Mytilus edulis: one gene and its partner. The main gene of each other region encodes a partner of the protein of the gene in region 2 in a complex. Links are inferred from orthologs where the notes say so. Each region holds a gene or a part of one and is shown on either strand. Other genes may lie near its edges.

Region 1 (7,784 bases), about 82 Mb from region 2:
TTCTGTCTAAATTCATCTCTTGTTTTTCTAATGGCATAATTTCTGAAACAGAAAAAACAAAACTTCAATTTTTGATGAAAAATTTTGAGACATAGTTTTCATAAACATGATAAATGCTTTATTTGAAATTCAACCAAATAATTATTGATCAGATTATCCTAGATTTGCACATTATTCTCTAAAAATATCAACCCTATATATCACCATTATCATGTGATTATACATATTCTAAGCCAACACAGCAGATAATCAATTCTATGTTTTATTCATACATGTCGGATGAACTTTTTTTTGTGCATAAATTTTAAATATGTCTGTGTCATTGGAGACAAATCTTAAAATAGACAGTTTAATAATCTCATGAACTCGCACATTTTTAATCCAAAACTGCTTTCCATTTTACATAAAAGAACTGACCAAGAAAAAAAACGTTTTCATGAACATTTGATTTCCAACATGGTTTCAAAGTTTGCATACAAGCCTATACAAAATTTTTACTTACTAGTTTCAAACATTTAAATTCGTTATCCTTAAAATCCTCAAAAAAATTGATATCCCATGCATAATGACTATGTATCCTCAGTTCTTTCTCAACAAAATATCAATTTGAATGTATTTACAAGGATAGTGATTAATATGCAGTGAAATAGTCGTTACATTTATAAGTTCATTTGTGCAGTGTCAGGCTGTGGTTTAAAAAAAAAAGGGGCATCTAACTTTTGTTGATCAGGAGTGACCCCTGAAAATAGCTGAAGTGAAATTTTGAACTATAATTCTTGATTCCTGTCCTTGTCTTCATATTTTAGCATCCCATCAGTCAATTCATGCAATAACTGCCTACATTAGCAATCCTAAGGCCTTCAAAAATATTCCTAGTCATTGAAGGATACATATATTAATTTCAGATCGTTTTTTATTGAGAACATCATCGATCTGTATAACTTATGTTTCTTTTAATTATATGTATCCTAATTTTTGTCAGTTTATTGTCTCAATACTGTAAGCTTAAACCATGCACCTTTAATGTAAATGGGTGTTTTGCTTATAATTATTGTCTATTGTCTATATTATAGTATACATCTTCCATTCATTGTGTTTACCTTAAATCAAATTACAATAAGACTATTTTGACCAATCACAGTGAAATTATAACTATTAAAGTTGATGCTTACATTATCTGAAAATGACTGTTTGGTGACTGACGACAAAGGGCATTCTAGTCCAAATAATTTTGACGTCTGGCAAGGCTATTTTACTTTTTTTCTGGGAAGCCTTCCAAAGACGTCATAATTATTTGGACTAAGACCTTACGGATCTCCTGTAGTTGGTGATCGCAATACTGGTATACCACAATACTGGTATAAAAATTTTGTACCAGTATTGTATTCCAGTATTGTACCAGTATTGTGCTTTTTTTAAATAAACAATATAGGTAATTAATCTTTATAAAGGTGTCACATATATGCATAATGAAATTAACATATGACATGACAATTTTATTAGGAATGATTGTGTTTAACTGATGATGCCATAGATGGTACACTGTGATTGGCATCAAATAAAGTTTTAAATCTTCTGATGTTTTTTTCTTAACCTTTCTGTCTCAGCATTTTAACAAACTCTGTACTTTCTTCTATGTTTTCTTTCAGCTCTCTCTCTTTCCAAGATTCATGTAGTATATTTTAGTGAATTTTATATTGACATTAATGCTGTTATAGCTTCTGTATCATCAGCATTGGTATTTCTTCTTCAGATGTGATTTCTGCAACCCCTCCCCCTTCCTATATTGGTATTCAGGTATTCAGTCTCTGTGGACTTTCTCTAACGCTTACTAGATTACAAGCTATTTCAGATAGCATTTGTATAGCTCTCTAACTGTCAGAATGCTGGTCTAGTATTTGTACCAGTAGATATACATGTATCTGCTACTAATTGTATTGTCCATGGTTCTGAATCAACTGCTTCAACCCTTAACATTTATGTAGACAAACTAGTTAATTTGATTATAACAAGGTTCCCCTATAAAGCAACTTTTTATAATTAATTAATTATGTTGATATCTTTTGTTGTGAAAGATTAATAAGAAAATAAAGACAAACAAATGCATATGATCTTAGTACACAAAAAATGTATACATGTATTAAAATATCTGTCAAAATATGTGATGGCATACATGTAAATGCTGAATTTACAGTGTTAGAGTCTAATAATTTGCTTGAATTTATTAAATTATTGCTCAGATAATAATAAGCTTTTATTTTATTTTATCTATATTAAATTAAATAAAATATAGAAATAAGATAAAATTATTAGCAATTGTTTAAATAATAATGATGATATGAGTTAATTTCAATAATCCTTTGTTTATTTGTGCAAGTATAGTAATGACTTTTAACTGGTTGCTAATTGATTTCACAATTATCCTCTATAATCTTTTTGAGTTCCATTTAATCTCCCTTTGATCTTCAATATAGTCTAGTCAACAATACAACTACAATACTGGTATATCAGTAATGTACCAGTATTGCTGGGTTTTTTTTTATAAAAAGTAACAATACTGGTACAAAATTTTTATACCAGTATTGTGGACAATACTGGTATACCAGTATTGTGATCACCAACTACTGGAGATCCGACCTTACTAAGGGCAATCCTACCCTCAATTATGGAAACACTGTAATGGTGTCGAATTGATTAGCCAAGAGGGGAAATGACATTAAATAAGTAACGATTTGAATAGGTGTCTTTTTGACTAAATGACGAATTGACTTCTTCTATCAGTGCCGAATTGACCATGTGCCGATTTGACCTGTCCATGAGAGATAAGCCGATGAATTTAGAAAAAAATGGAATCTAGAAAAAATGAGAGGAATATCGGACGAAAAAGGTGCAAACGATCAAATTATTTCACAACTAACCTATAGTTGTACGATGTAAACTTTTTACTTTCTTGAAGTATTTGCTTATATAAGGCAAGCGCTTTTGATCTTGAACCCATGTTTTTAATTTTCGGTCTTTGGTTATCTCCCTTTATATTTGACTAATTTTAGAGTCGACTCCCGAAAGGACTTGTATTTTTGGTAAACAACAACATGGAATCGAAAGTTGAATATTAGCTACTTTTAACTATTACAGTAACATCATAGTATTACATGTATGACATTGTTTCATGTTTGATTTTTTTTTCTCGAAGACTCATTGTTTGCGTTTCATCATGTTCATTGTGATAGAGACCTATTTTTCAGCCAACCATGTTTGTATCGAAAGAAAAATATACTATCTGTCAACTGACCTTGTGATTTTGGCAGCACATACCATTCAGCCTGAATTTCGGATGCAGTCATTTTTAAAAGGGAGTAACCCAAGATAAAAGAGGGGCTCCAACTTGCCCCCATTCACTAGTCCAAATAATTATGACGTCTTGAAAGGCTATTATAATTTTTTTCTTTGACGCCTTACATCGACGTCATAATGCTGAAGCCGCCATTTTCGGTTGGCGTCAAAGAAAAAAATTATAATAGCCTTTCAAGACGTCATAATTATTTGGACTACCCATTCACATGCATTGATTTAAAAATAAAAGGGGGGTCCAACTCATCCCAGCCCCCCCCCCCCCCCCCCCCCCCCCAACCACCACCACCACCACCACCTGGAGTCTGCCCCTCTGCAACCGGTAATGCCTCTGAATGATGCATACTCCTTTTAGATTATTTTTTGGCTATGGTCAAGTAGAACCGGTAATGCCTCTGAATGATGCATACTCCTTTTAGATTATTTTTTGGCTATGGTCAAGTAGAATGTATCATTCTTTGCAAATATTAGTTCAAATAATTATGAAGACTTGAAACAATGATAAGCTAATAGCAAGTCAACAGTTCTGTTTTTAGCTCTTCCCATCTCTAACTAGAAGTGCAAAAAGTTCAGATGACAGTTTCAGAAAATAAATTGAATATCAACCTCTAGTGTTGTTGTGATTCAAAAAAATCTTTTTATACACAATAATCTCGTCATAGCGTTATAAACAGACAAAAATCTCGTCATAGAGTTATAAACAGACAATCAGGTGTTTTAAATTGCCTCATTCTGACAAACACACAAACACTCAGCAGTGGAAATAGAAACAATGATTCAAATTCAATGACAACAATAATTCACCAGTAGACATGGGGTAGACAACCTGAAGATTCACCCTTCTATAACCTCCCTTATATTGGCAGTCAGCCATTAAAGACAAAGATTGTATTGGATCATAAATATTAAGTGCATCGTAGACATCTAAATATTCTCTGTGGAGTAAGAGAGATATCTCATAAATCTTGAAAGGCTCTTATACTTCATGTACTTTTTTGCTTTGAAGCCTTACAACAAGGCTGTAAGCATTGTAAGGTGTCAAGGCAAAAAAGTATAATTGCCTTTCAAGACGTCATAATTTTTGGACTATGCAAATACATGTATCTGATTTAGACGTTCACAGTGCCCTCTTGATGAAGTTTATTTCCTAGAAATATGCAGTGACTCACTAGATGTTGGCAATTTAAACTTTTGTATTAGCATGATTAGGAAACTTTAAAAGGAAACAAGCCGTCTAATTTTTATTTTGAGATCATTTAAATATATTGGAGTGTAGTGTGTGGTAAATTTTAACTTGAACTAGAATACAGTTTTTATCTAGGAATGCTAGGGGTCAGCTGAGGACCACCTCCAGGTGCAGGAATTTCTAGCTGCGTTGAAGACCCATTGGTGCATGGCCTTTGGCTGTTATCTACTCATTGGTCGGGTTGCTGTCTGTTTGACATGTTTCCTATTTCTATTCTCAATTTCATCTGTTTCACATTACATACTAACATGTATTTTGATTCACAAGGTCGACAAATTAAGCTATATATTCCCCCAAAAATGTCTTCACAATGTCAATGAATTTAAAATTTGCAGCAATACATTCAATATGCAGGCCTGACACTGATTTTTTGAATATTTTGTAGATTTCAATTATCCACATATAATTTAAGTTCATACAGGCCAAACATGCTTAAAACTGTAAATTCAGAAATTATTGAGAGGTTTTTATTATTGCAAAAAAATGCTATGTATATACAGGTACGTTATAATCACAATATTTTAAACTAGCATTTTATAAAAAAAATTTATATGAATTAAACAGGATTTTTCTCTGTATCCCGAAAGGTAAAAATCACATTTTAGTCTAAAATGACAAAATCCCAGTAATAAACATGATAAATGCACACAATAATTTTTGAATTTGCAGTAAGTAGTAGTTTTATAACATGTATAAGTCTTGTAAATAAATAGAGTCAAAATTCATACATTGGCTGCACTGGCCAAGCATGAAAACTGCTTAAATGCAGCTCATTTTTCGTTATCATGTACATGATGTATGTCAATTTTTTTTTATTATTTTATTTTCAACATTTAAAACATATACATGACATACATACATATATTATACAATGTCATTATTAAAGATACACCATAATTGGAAATATTTTTTCTATAGAATAGATCAAAAGAAAAAATTCTAAAAAGTATAAAAATTGATAAATAGTAATGATTAATAGACATGATAGATAGGATTACAGGAGTTCAAAATAAAGGAAAAAATAGAAAAGAAAAAGACAAGACAAAATTTAAAAAAAAATGGAATATCTAGCTACATCCTTATCTATATTTTTTTTTAATTTTTAAATGTTACATATTCATGTTGATAACTATTTGCTAAATTAACTAGACATATTTCTTTTGTAGTAGCCATCAACACAGGCCAAGGACATTTACATGACAATAATATTTTCCTTATTTTAAAATAGATTATAAGTAAATAGTCATTAGTACATTGTAGTAATAGTCAAATGTTCATACTTTCCATTTAAAAACAATTGTAGCTACAAATGGGGTCAAACTAGTTGCTGATTACATACATACATGTACATACATACATACATGTATACACTAGTCATTTATAGCTTGCTGCTCAGTCAGTGTAAGCCAAGGCTCTGTGTTTAAGACAATACTTTGACCTATTATAATAAGGAGATTTGTCTCAATTGGCACTCATTCCATATCTTCTTATATCTATGTAAACAAAAACTGTAAATTAGAAATTTCTTATTGATCTTATGAGAAAAGTTATTTTATTCTATATTTCAGGATTATTTTGGTACCAAGATGATTTGTCCAGTCTTACATGCCACATTGAAACATTCATTAAGAAGATTTCAGTTGATCAGGTGTTGTTATTGCACAAGTCCAAAGTTATCAGAGAAAAATGGTACAATTGAATTGTTAGGAAAGACTTATAAAACTGATCATGTAACAAATATTAGATCAAGCTTAATACCAAAAATTGGAATTGGTTTACATAATATGAAACACCATCCTTTAAATTTATTAAAACAACAAATAGTTGATTACTTTTACAAGAATTTTATAAATCGACAGAAAAATCCTGTGTTTTCTGTATATGACAGTATCAGCCCAGTTGTAACGTTGCATCAGAATTTTGATAGTTTATTAGTGCCAGAGGATCATGTCAGTAGGAAAGTGTCTGAGAGTTTTTACCTGAATTCCGAGTACATGTTACGTGCTCATACATCAGCACATCAAAGTGATTTAATAAGAACTGGACTGAATGCCTTCCTTGTATTTGGTGATGTGTATAGGAGAGATACTATTGATTCAAGTCATTATCCAATTTTCCACCAGGCAGAAGGAGTAAGACTTTATAGAGGCCAGGAGGTAAGCAGAAATAAATTTCTAAATATTCTAACCTTTTTATAATTGACACATTTTGAGTGAAATATTTGACTTTAGAGACAGTAAGGTTAAGCATGAGTCAAAGAGCGGTGGTGTAGTAGTTAGTGCATCAGACTACAAACACAAAGGTTCCAGGTTCAAATCCCTTTTTTGGGTGAAAATTTTAGGGACCGAATTTTAGGCTCTCCCTTGACACCATTTGTGAGTATGTTCTTGAGGAAACGATGATAGTCTGTGGGAAGGGGACAATAAATGGCGGACCCGTGTTGAAAGAGAGCCATATCTCTTGCATGTTAAAGACACCCTTGTAGACTTCAAAAAAGAGCTGGCTTATGCCACTACAAGGCAGCACTCCCACCTGTAAAGTGGAAAGGGATTAATATAAGTTGCAGAACTTGTTTCCCAATCCAGGATAAATAAATATGTTTAAACTAAGTCATGTATCAATAAAAATAATAATAATATAATAACATGTAAATGTCACATCTCGATTCATAGTTAGCTGCTTAAACAGGAAGGTTCATTTGCTTTGATTTAGAGGTAATACCAACTTATCATAGTACGTCACATCCCATAACAAAAGAAAAGGGTTGAAAAAAAATATTCCCTTGAACTTGACCTTGGAATCACATTATAAATTTACTTTTGTCTGTGTGTGACAAGTGTCAACTTTTGTTTTTAGCTTAAAAATGGTATTAGTGTCAAGCAGATGTTTTTTGCACTACATAGGGGGTCACTACATGATTGTATTAACTCTTCTCATACTATTTTTAATTGAACAATTTTAACTTGCAGCTTTTTTCCAAAATGAACATTACTGGTGATTACCAGATTTTTGAAAATGGTGAAAAAAATGAAACCAAACAGCCATTGCACACGAAAGAAGCTGTGATGATCCTGGAACATGAATTAAAATCTACTTTAGAAAATCTTGCTTTTAAGTTGTTTGGAAAAGGTTTGTGTATAGCAATATATGTAAAGAGTTATATTATCATGTTTTATCTTCATACAGA
Region 2 (7,642 bases):
ATCGCTAAACCCGGCTGACCCAGCCGCTTGAACTTTAGACGCATACAACAATCACTTTTCCATTGTGGCGTCAGATATTTATGTTTTATGAGGCCAAAATAAAAAGATTGTATGTTTGCCCAAACGCGACCGACCCAAAATAAACCCGCCGACTCAAATTCTTTTTTTGACGTTTTTTTAGAAGATTTTTTTTTTGCGGATTCTTTTCATGTCCGCTCCGTCATTGTATAAAACTTAATGTTTGTTATCTTTGCGTTTGAAAGTAACTGTGAATGAGATTAAAAGAAAGCGCATAAGAGACGCAGTTAATTGATCTTCCATGTTCTCTGTTTTTATCTTCTGATTTAACGAACGTAAAGAAGTGAAAAATGTGAAGTGGCACAGTTTTTGTTTTACGCTGTAGTTGTCTGTACTACCAAACCCTTACCTATATGCTCAATGTTAATTTCATCGTGTAATCGAAGATCTGATAAGAATATTCAGGTAGATTTGTTCAAAACCATGTGCAATCGAATATTTTCAATGTTACTCTGACAGGAAATGGATCCGGAAGTTGCGAATTTACAATCTTGCAAGAAGATTTTGTATTTATTGAATAAAAAGGGATTACTTCTTGATAAATTGTTGTCTTTAATTATAATCTTCCTTTATCATGTGAATTAGATATAATACACATTCATTAAATGTTTATTTTAGATTGATTCTTTTGGAAGGTATACACCTTATCGCTAAACCTGGCTGACCCAGCCGCTTGAACTTTAGACGCATACAACAATCACTTTTCCATTGTGGCGTCAGATATTTATGTTTTATGAGGCCAAAATAAAAAGATTGTATGTTTGCCCAAACGCGACCGACCCAAAATAAACCCGCCGACTCAAATTCTTTTTTTGACGTTTTTTTAGAAGATTTTTTTTTTGCGGATTCTTTTCATGTCCGCTCCGTCATTGTATAAAACTTAATGTTTGTTATCTTTGCGTTTGAAAGTAACTGTGAATGAGATTAAAAGAAAGCGCATAAGAGACGCAGTTAATTGATCTTCCATGTTCTCTGTTTTTATCTTCTGATTTAACGAACGTAAAGAAGTGAAAAATGTGAAGTGGCACAGTTTTTGTTTTACGCTGTAGTTGTCTGTACTACCAAACCCTTACCTATATGCTCAATGTTAATTTCATCGTGTAATCGAAGATCTGATAAGAATATTCAGGTAGATTTGTTCAAAACCATGTGCAATCGAATATTTTCAATGTTACTCTGACAGGAAATGGATCCGGAAGTTGCGAATTTACAATCTTGCAAGAAGATTTTGTATTTATTGAATAAAAAGGGATTACTTCTTGATAAATTGTTGTCTTTAATTATAATCTTCCTTTATCATGTGAATTAGATGCCCTTTTATTCAAATAGTTCAAATTTACAAGCCTCAGTTGACAAAATCAATAAGTTGCTGTTTGGGAGAATTTGATTAAACTATAATTGCTCACAGAATAAGAAATATAATCTTAACTGAATGTAACTCTTTCTGAATAATTTAGTGCAATATAAATCCCCTTTGACAAGAAAAATCTGGCTTTTGTCAGAAATATTTTTTTCACATGTGCAAAAGTAAACACATGATATGGTTGGATTTTTATACAAATTTGTGAGGAAGCCTCTAGAACCATGACCTAAAAATAAATAGTCTTCAGAAATTGTTAACTTTATGCAATTATATTTTATCAATAATGATTATTTTCAAAAATTTAAACTTGATTATTTAAAGAAATAAAATTATAACAAATACGTTTTTAGTTTGGAGATTCTACAGAACATGTTTTGGTCTATTTATAGCCAAATTAGTTTACCTGTGTGATAATGTAAAAATATAAATTTGTTTTCAAAACATAAAAAGACAGAAACTATGGATGGTAGATAATAATTCATATAAAATATTTTAGGACATTTAATCTATTTTAAAAGATATAGGATTTAAAAACTGCAAACAAATTAAATTATTACATACATCAGCTGATATTTTTTTTTCACAAACATCTTGTTGATGTAACTGTTGAAAATCACTTCATAAATCCACCAACCCTTTCACACAGTCAGGGTTATAAACATCTCAGGATATAAAGTAGACTAATTTATTTATAGAGGTTTTAAATTCATGGCTTTTGGTTGACTCTACAAAGGTTTGACGGAAAAAAAAGATGTACTGTTTTAAGACCTTTTCATATTTTCATGCAAATTCTGAAAAAAAAAAAAAAGAATTTGCCAACCTACGTACCCAGACCCAGTCATCATGGGTCGGGTTTGGGCAAACTGAAATATTTTTAATTGTGGCCTGACGTCAAAATTTTACAGGAACCTATGTGATATCCAGTAATGGCGGACAAATAGCGATAAGGTGTATTAGGGAAAGGGTACAAAAATGTAATATAAAATAAAAAAAAACGTAAATACTTAATTAAAATAACTTTATTAAGAAAATTTTCACCACACATGTTATCATTTGCTATTCTTATTCTTACTAAGAATAGCAGCCGAATATGACGTCACATGGGCATGAACTGCATACAGGAAGTGAAAGTAGAATTAGGTCGAAAACGTAAGATCGTCGAAAACACAATACGTTGAAATACGAGACGATACAAATCAAAACAAATATTTATATTGGTGTGTAAATGTACATGTCATGTTCTTTAACAAGATCTATATTGCTATCAGTCTACTTATTCTGTCTAAATTGATGATTTTTAATATCTTAATTTTAAGAGTTCCATGAACATTATGAAACAACGTGTATGTATCTTTCAATGTCTTTTTGACACATGTAATGGCTGTATACCTGCAACTGCAACTTTCTGAGCATTGTCAGTCACATTCGCCTGTAAATATCTCTTAGTTGACTGAGTTGTGCTGTTCACAACTTGTAATACAAAGCGAAAATTTCTGAAAAGTCGTGCCATTTTATATTTATTTTCTTCTGTCGAAATTGCTTTACATAATTGTAGTACTATGCAGCCAATAATCAACAGTAGTATTGATTATAACCAGAATCACTCAAACAATATCCGATTACCAAATATACAAATACCAACACGAATATTCGAAAACGTACATAATTGCTTCATGTTCAAGATAGAATTTAAAGAAAATTCATACCTGTCAACTGTCACTATTTGTGGGGGATTTCCCCCATGGAGGCTCCCAAATTAAAATTTTGAAAGAGCAATTTTGTCCAAAATTTAAACAAAAAAATTAATTTTACAATAACTTTAGGCTTATAAAAGTATGAAGAAGCCAAAAAACTACCTTAAATGTATTTGCAGGCCCCGTTTATGGTTTTTTAGGACTATGACAGCCATCTTGCACGCAAAACCCCCATGGGCATTTTGAAAAGTTGGCTGGTATGAAAGATTGATAATTTATTATTGAGACTTCTGTAACACATGTGGTTTTTTTCTCAGATTAGAATTAGATAGAAATAGTACAAAAAGTTAAAACTATAGTAATAAAGCATCAGTCTCATGTTGATAAATGTTTTAAAAAAAAAAAATAGGATAAGAATGATAGGTCACAGCGCATTTGCTCAAGCTACAGGTTTTGACAAAATGACACATTTTATAATAAGAATAAGAATTTTATTAGTCTAAAATCCAAACAATAGGATTGTTACTAAAATACAAAACAAAAACAAAAACAAAGAAACAGACAGACAGGCATATTAATTACAAAACTAGGCATTAAACACTACAAACATGTAGCATTGAAAAAAAAAAGTTATTAATATTAACTATAATACTATTTTTGACAGCATGTCTCCTCTTTCAAATTATCAATTCAAATATTATGCTTATATATATATATAACATTATAAGTTGGGCCATCAATTACACAGTTCATATTGACATTATAATTGTTTCTCTCATTATACATTTCATTTATAGACGTCACGCGCGATGTTCGTACCTCATTGGAAAATCGGTGTAGTTGGCAAGATCCAAGTCCAAAATATATAGTTTTGTGATATCACATTCATTGCTATTGTACGAATTTTTGAAAAAATAATGTTTTTTAAAATAAAAACGAAAAAAATAATTGTTGAAACTATGTTTAATGCTGCATGCGACAAGCTTCATTTAAAAAAACCGGCTATTTTTAGGCTGTCCCGCGTAACATATTTCATTTATTGTAACCACTAAACTATGATTTTCGTCTAAACTATTTAATATTTTGAAAAACGTTTTTTTTCCCATTATTTAACATAAAGGTTCCTTCAGTTTGTTATGCATTCTTTATGACGTTATAATGACGCAATAGAAAAAAAGATCCATACTACAAGGGCAAACCTGTCCCACGGGGAAAAAAATTTGGATTCCAGATTTGAGAATTAAAAAACATTTATCTAAAATGGAAATGGGTTAGTGTAGTGTTTGTTTTTACTACATCAATGTTAATTTGCTTAATTTTATGAAGTTAAAGACAAATATCATGGCCAGAAAAATGATATATGGTAATTTATGAGCGATTTTTCAAAGGCTTACAAGGTTGTCGCACTGCCATTTTTTGACGTAAAAACGAACTCACCTCAAATTTACGTCAATTGTTTGCTTATCAGTGCTCTTTTAATGGTAGAATTTTATGATTTTTGAAAATGTTATTTTTCTTAATTTTTCAAAAACTAAAATACATCAATTTTCAATAAGTAGTTAAAAAGCACCGACGATTTTGCGGAGTCTTACAAGAATGTCGCACTTGCTTAAAAACAACGTTTTAGTCGAAGTTTTGGTTTGAACGTTACGAAATATTCGGGACGTTGTGTTACGCTTACATGTACGAACATAGCGCATAACGTCATAACATTATAAGTTGGGCCACCAATTACACAGATCATATATTGACATTATATTTTTTTCTCTCATTATACATTTCACTTATATAGTTAACAATGATAAGTAAAATATCACATTCTTCGCAGGAAAATATAAAATCAAATTTGTTTTCTTCACTCATTGAATTAAAACTGGGGACAATACTAGAAATTTCATTCAACATTTTGATCTAGTTTTATTAATTTCTGAACATAATGATAAAATGAAATACATCTTCCACCTCTTTATGACATAAAGGACATATTCTATTTTCTAAAGCTGTTTTGTTGTATCTACCGCGTTCAATAGCCAGTATACTATTCCTTATTCTTATTTTAGCATAATTTTTTGTAACATTTTTATCTATTTCAATAAAAGGTACTTTTCTAGTTCACACTTTACTTTAAATTTTCTGTAGGTTCTTAGTTTATTTCCATTTATTGAATTATCATCATTAAAGAGACAATTTTTCCAAAATGTAATGTAATTTTCATTGAGCTTCTCTCACGACGGCTAAAAGTAATCTTTTTTTTAGAAAAGGTACATTGATTTTCCCAAACATGAGTGAAATTCAATTTTGAAAGTAGCATTTTCAGTGGCGGATCCAGAACTTTTCATAAGGGGGGACCAGCTGACTGACCTAAGGGGTGGGGGGGGGGGGATCCAGTCATGCTTCAGTGATTTCCTATATTAGCAACCAAATTTTTCCCACGAAAAGGGGGGGCCCGGGCCTCCCAGCCCCCCACCCCTGGATCCGCCTATGATTTTTACTTTTGAAGCAAATCCATCATTTAACTGCTTGTTAGCTTTATAAACATTATATAATAAAGACTCATTTTCATTTGACTTTAAAATATGTAACCAAAATCCTACAGAAGACTTAAGGGCCTGTATACCAATAGGGTACATTCCCAATTCAGCTAATACAGCTGTATTTACTGCCTTTGAATTAACATTTAGAAGACCTTTTGAAAATTTGATCTGGAGTTTTACTGATTCCATAGATAAGTATTGAGATTTAAGAGTTTTATTGTTCTTCACAATATTTAGCGACCATATCTCACTGCAATACAGTAATATTGGGCTAACACAGGAATTAAACAGTTTCATATGGGGAAAAACATCCATCTTATCTGAGTAGAGTATTTTTTTAATACAAAACAATGCTTTTTTACAGAGGATATTTGCAGCATTAGTGAAAAATCCTGATGGCTTGAATAGTATACCTAAATATTTATATTCTGTGCAACATTCAATTACTTCATTATTCAATACAAACTTGTCTTTAGTAAGTTTTTTACCACTTTTATTAAATATCATTGTTTTTGTCTTGTCAAGATTGACAGTCAAGTTCCATTTTTCACAATAAGTGTTTAACTTGTTAAGACAATTTTGTAAACATTCTGAAGATTCTGATATTAATACTAAGTCATACTAGACAATTTTATGTCATGCAATGTTACAGGATCACATGTGTTATCAAACATTGAGGTTAAATCATTTATATAAAAAGAAAATAAGGTAGGGCTTAGAATGTTTTACTCCAACTGTGGAAGGGATTTATGAATTATGTATACAGGAAAAACATTATGCTCAGAAGCTAAACTAAATGATAGAATTGTAAAATTAAATACGATAAGATAGCTTTTAGAAAATGCTTTGAGAATACCATAACTCGGAAAAAACCCGTGTGTTTTCCACGACTAAAATACAAAATAGGAAAATTCCATGTAGATTCCTTAAGAAAATGCACTATTTCATCTTAGAATCTTATACATTTGTTCTTTTACATGAACATTCACATTAGTTATCTTCATTCCTGCATCAAATTTTGCTAACTTGATTGAAAATCAGGACCTGCTATGTTCTCTAATTTTTACAATCCAACCTTAACCGTTTTTCATAACTGAGACGAGCCAGTGCGGCTCAATTTGGGCGAGTTGGTTCCAGACAGGGCGATTTTTTACAAAGTGGGACGAGTTGTTGAAAAAGTAGGGCGAATATTACAGTGGGTCGTGCTGTTCTTCTTCCAGTGTTACCCTTTTTCGGTAATTAATGAGATTTATTAGAGTTCTGATCAGTGATTATACTGCATGCTCCTGTTAAAGGGAGACTAACCCCTTGAGTAAGGTTGACAAGCAAAGCAGTCGAAACCGAAAAGGACAAGATCGAGTGACTTATGTTTCGTGCAAAACAGAATGTTAAGAACTTGTCCTCTGAAGAGGATTGATATAGGTTTGAAGAAAAAAGTTTTTTCACAACCTTTTGAAGAAGTTCATACGAAAGGACAAATTGAAAGCGTTAGAAGATTTTTCTTAAAATTTAAACAGAGGCATGGGTATTTAAGTTCAGACGTCGCACTGTTGACTCGAAAACAAGTCTCATCGATATTGAAAATAAATGAAGTATCAGTGGATGCAGATGGTCCTATTAAAAACTTTGAAGTGAATAAATTACCAGCAAATAAACCAATTGAAGATCGTGACACAGTAGCAAAGTTGACTCATGGAGATAAAAACAAGTACATTTTCGGTGTTTATGATGGACATGGTGGTAGTGCATGTTCTCAAGCTCTCAGTGAACGATTATTTAACTATATTTCAGTCTCAATGTCAACGCAAGACATTTTGAAAGACATTGCATGTGACAACGAGGGACATGACAAACTTGTAGACTGGTACCCTTATCAGTCACAGTACTTCAATCATGAACTTGATCAAATATACAAGGATAACTTGGCTAAATTTGCCAAAGAAACATTAGCAAACTTTGAAGAATGCTCAGTA

What was found.
Region 1: cysteine desulfurase-like (region 2) and LYR motif-containing protein 4-like share a complex: the UniProt entries of both Drosophila melanogaster proteins name them as parts of the mitochondrial core iron-sulfur cluster (ISC) assembly complex. The link is inferred for Mytilus edulis from reciprocal best matches to the Drosophila melanogaster genes Nfs1 and bcn92.

The regions. Positions count from the first base shown.
Region 1 is NC_092348.1:3,985,652-3,993,435, reverse strand, and holds the start of LYR motif-containing protein 4-like, read right to left. Parts: upstream 3,055-7,784; 5' UTR 2,999-3,054; coding exon 2,919-2,998; intron 43-2,918; coding exon 1-42. Other genes in the region: phenylalanine--tRNA ligase, mitochondrial-like, read left to right, coding at 6,184-6,753, 7,567-7,726. UniProt on the Drosophila melanogaster protein: Stabilizing factor of the core iron-sulfur cluster (ISC) assembly complex that regulates the stability and cysteine desulfurase activity of Nfs1 and participates in the [2Fe-2S] clusters assembly on the scaffolding protein IscU.
Region 2 is NC_092348.1:85,717,205-85,724,846, forward strand, and holds the start of cysteine desulfurase-like, read right to left. Parts: upstream 3,008-7,642; 5' UTR 2,952-3,007; coding exon 2,831-2,951; intron 1-2,830. Other genes in the region: pyruvate dehydrogenase [acetyl-transferring]-phosphatase 1, mitochondrial-like, read left to right, coding at 7,055-7,642. UniProt on the Drosophila melanogaster protein: Catalyzes the removal of elemental sulfur from cysteine to produce alanine. It supplies the inorganic sulfur for iron-sulfur (Fe-S) clusters.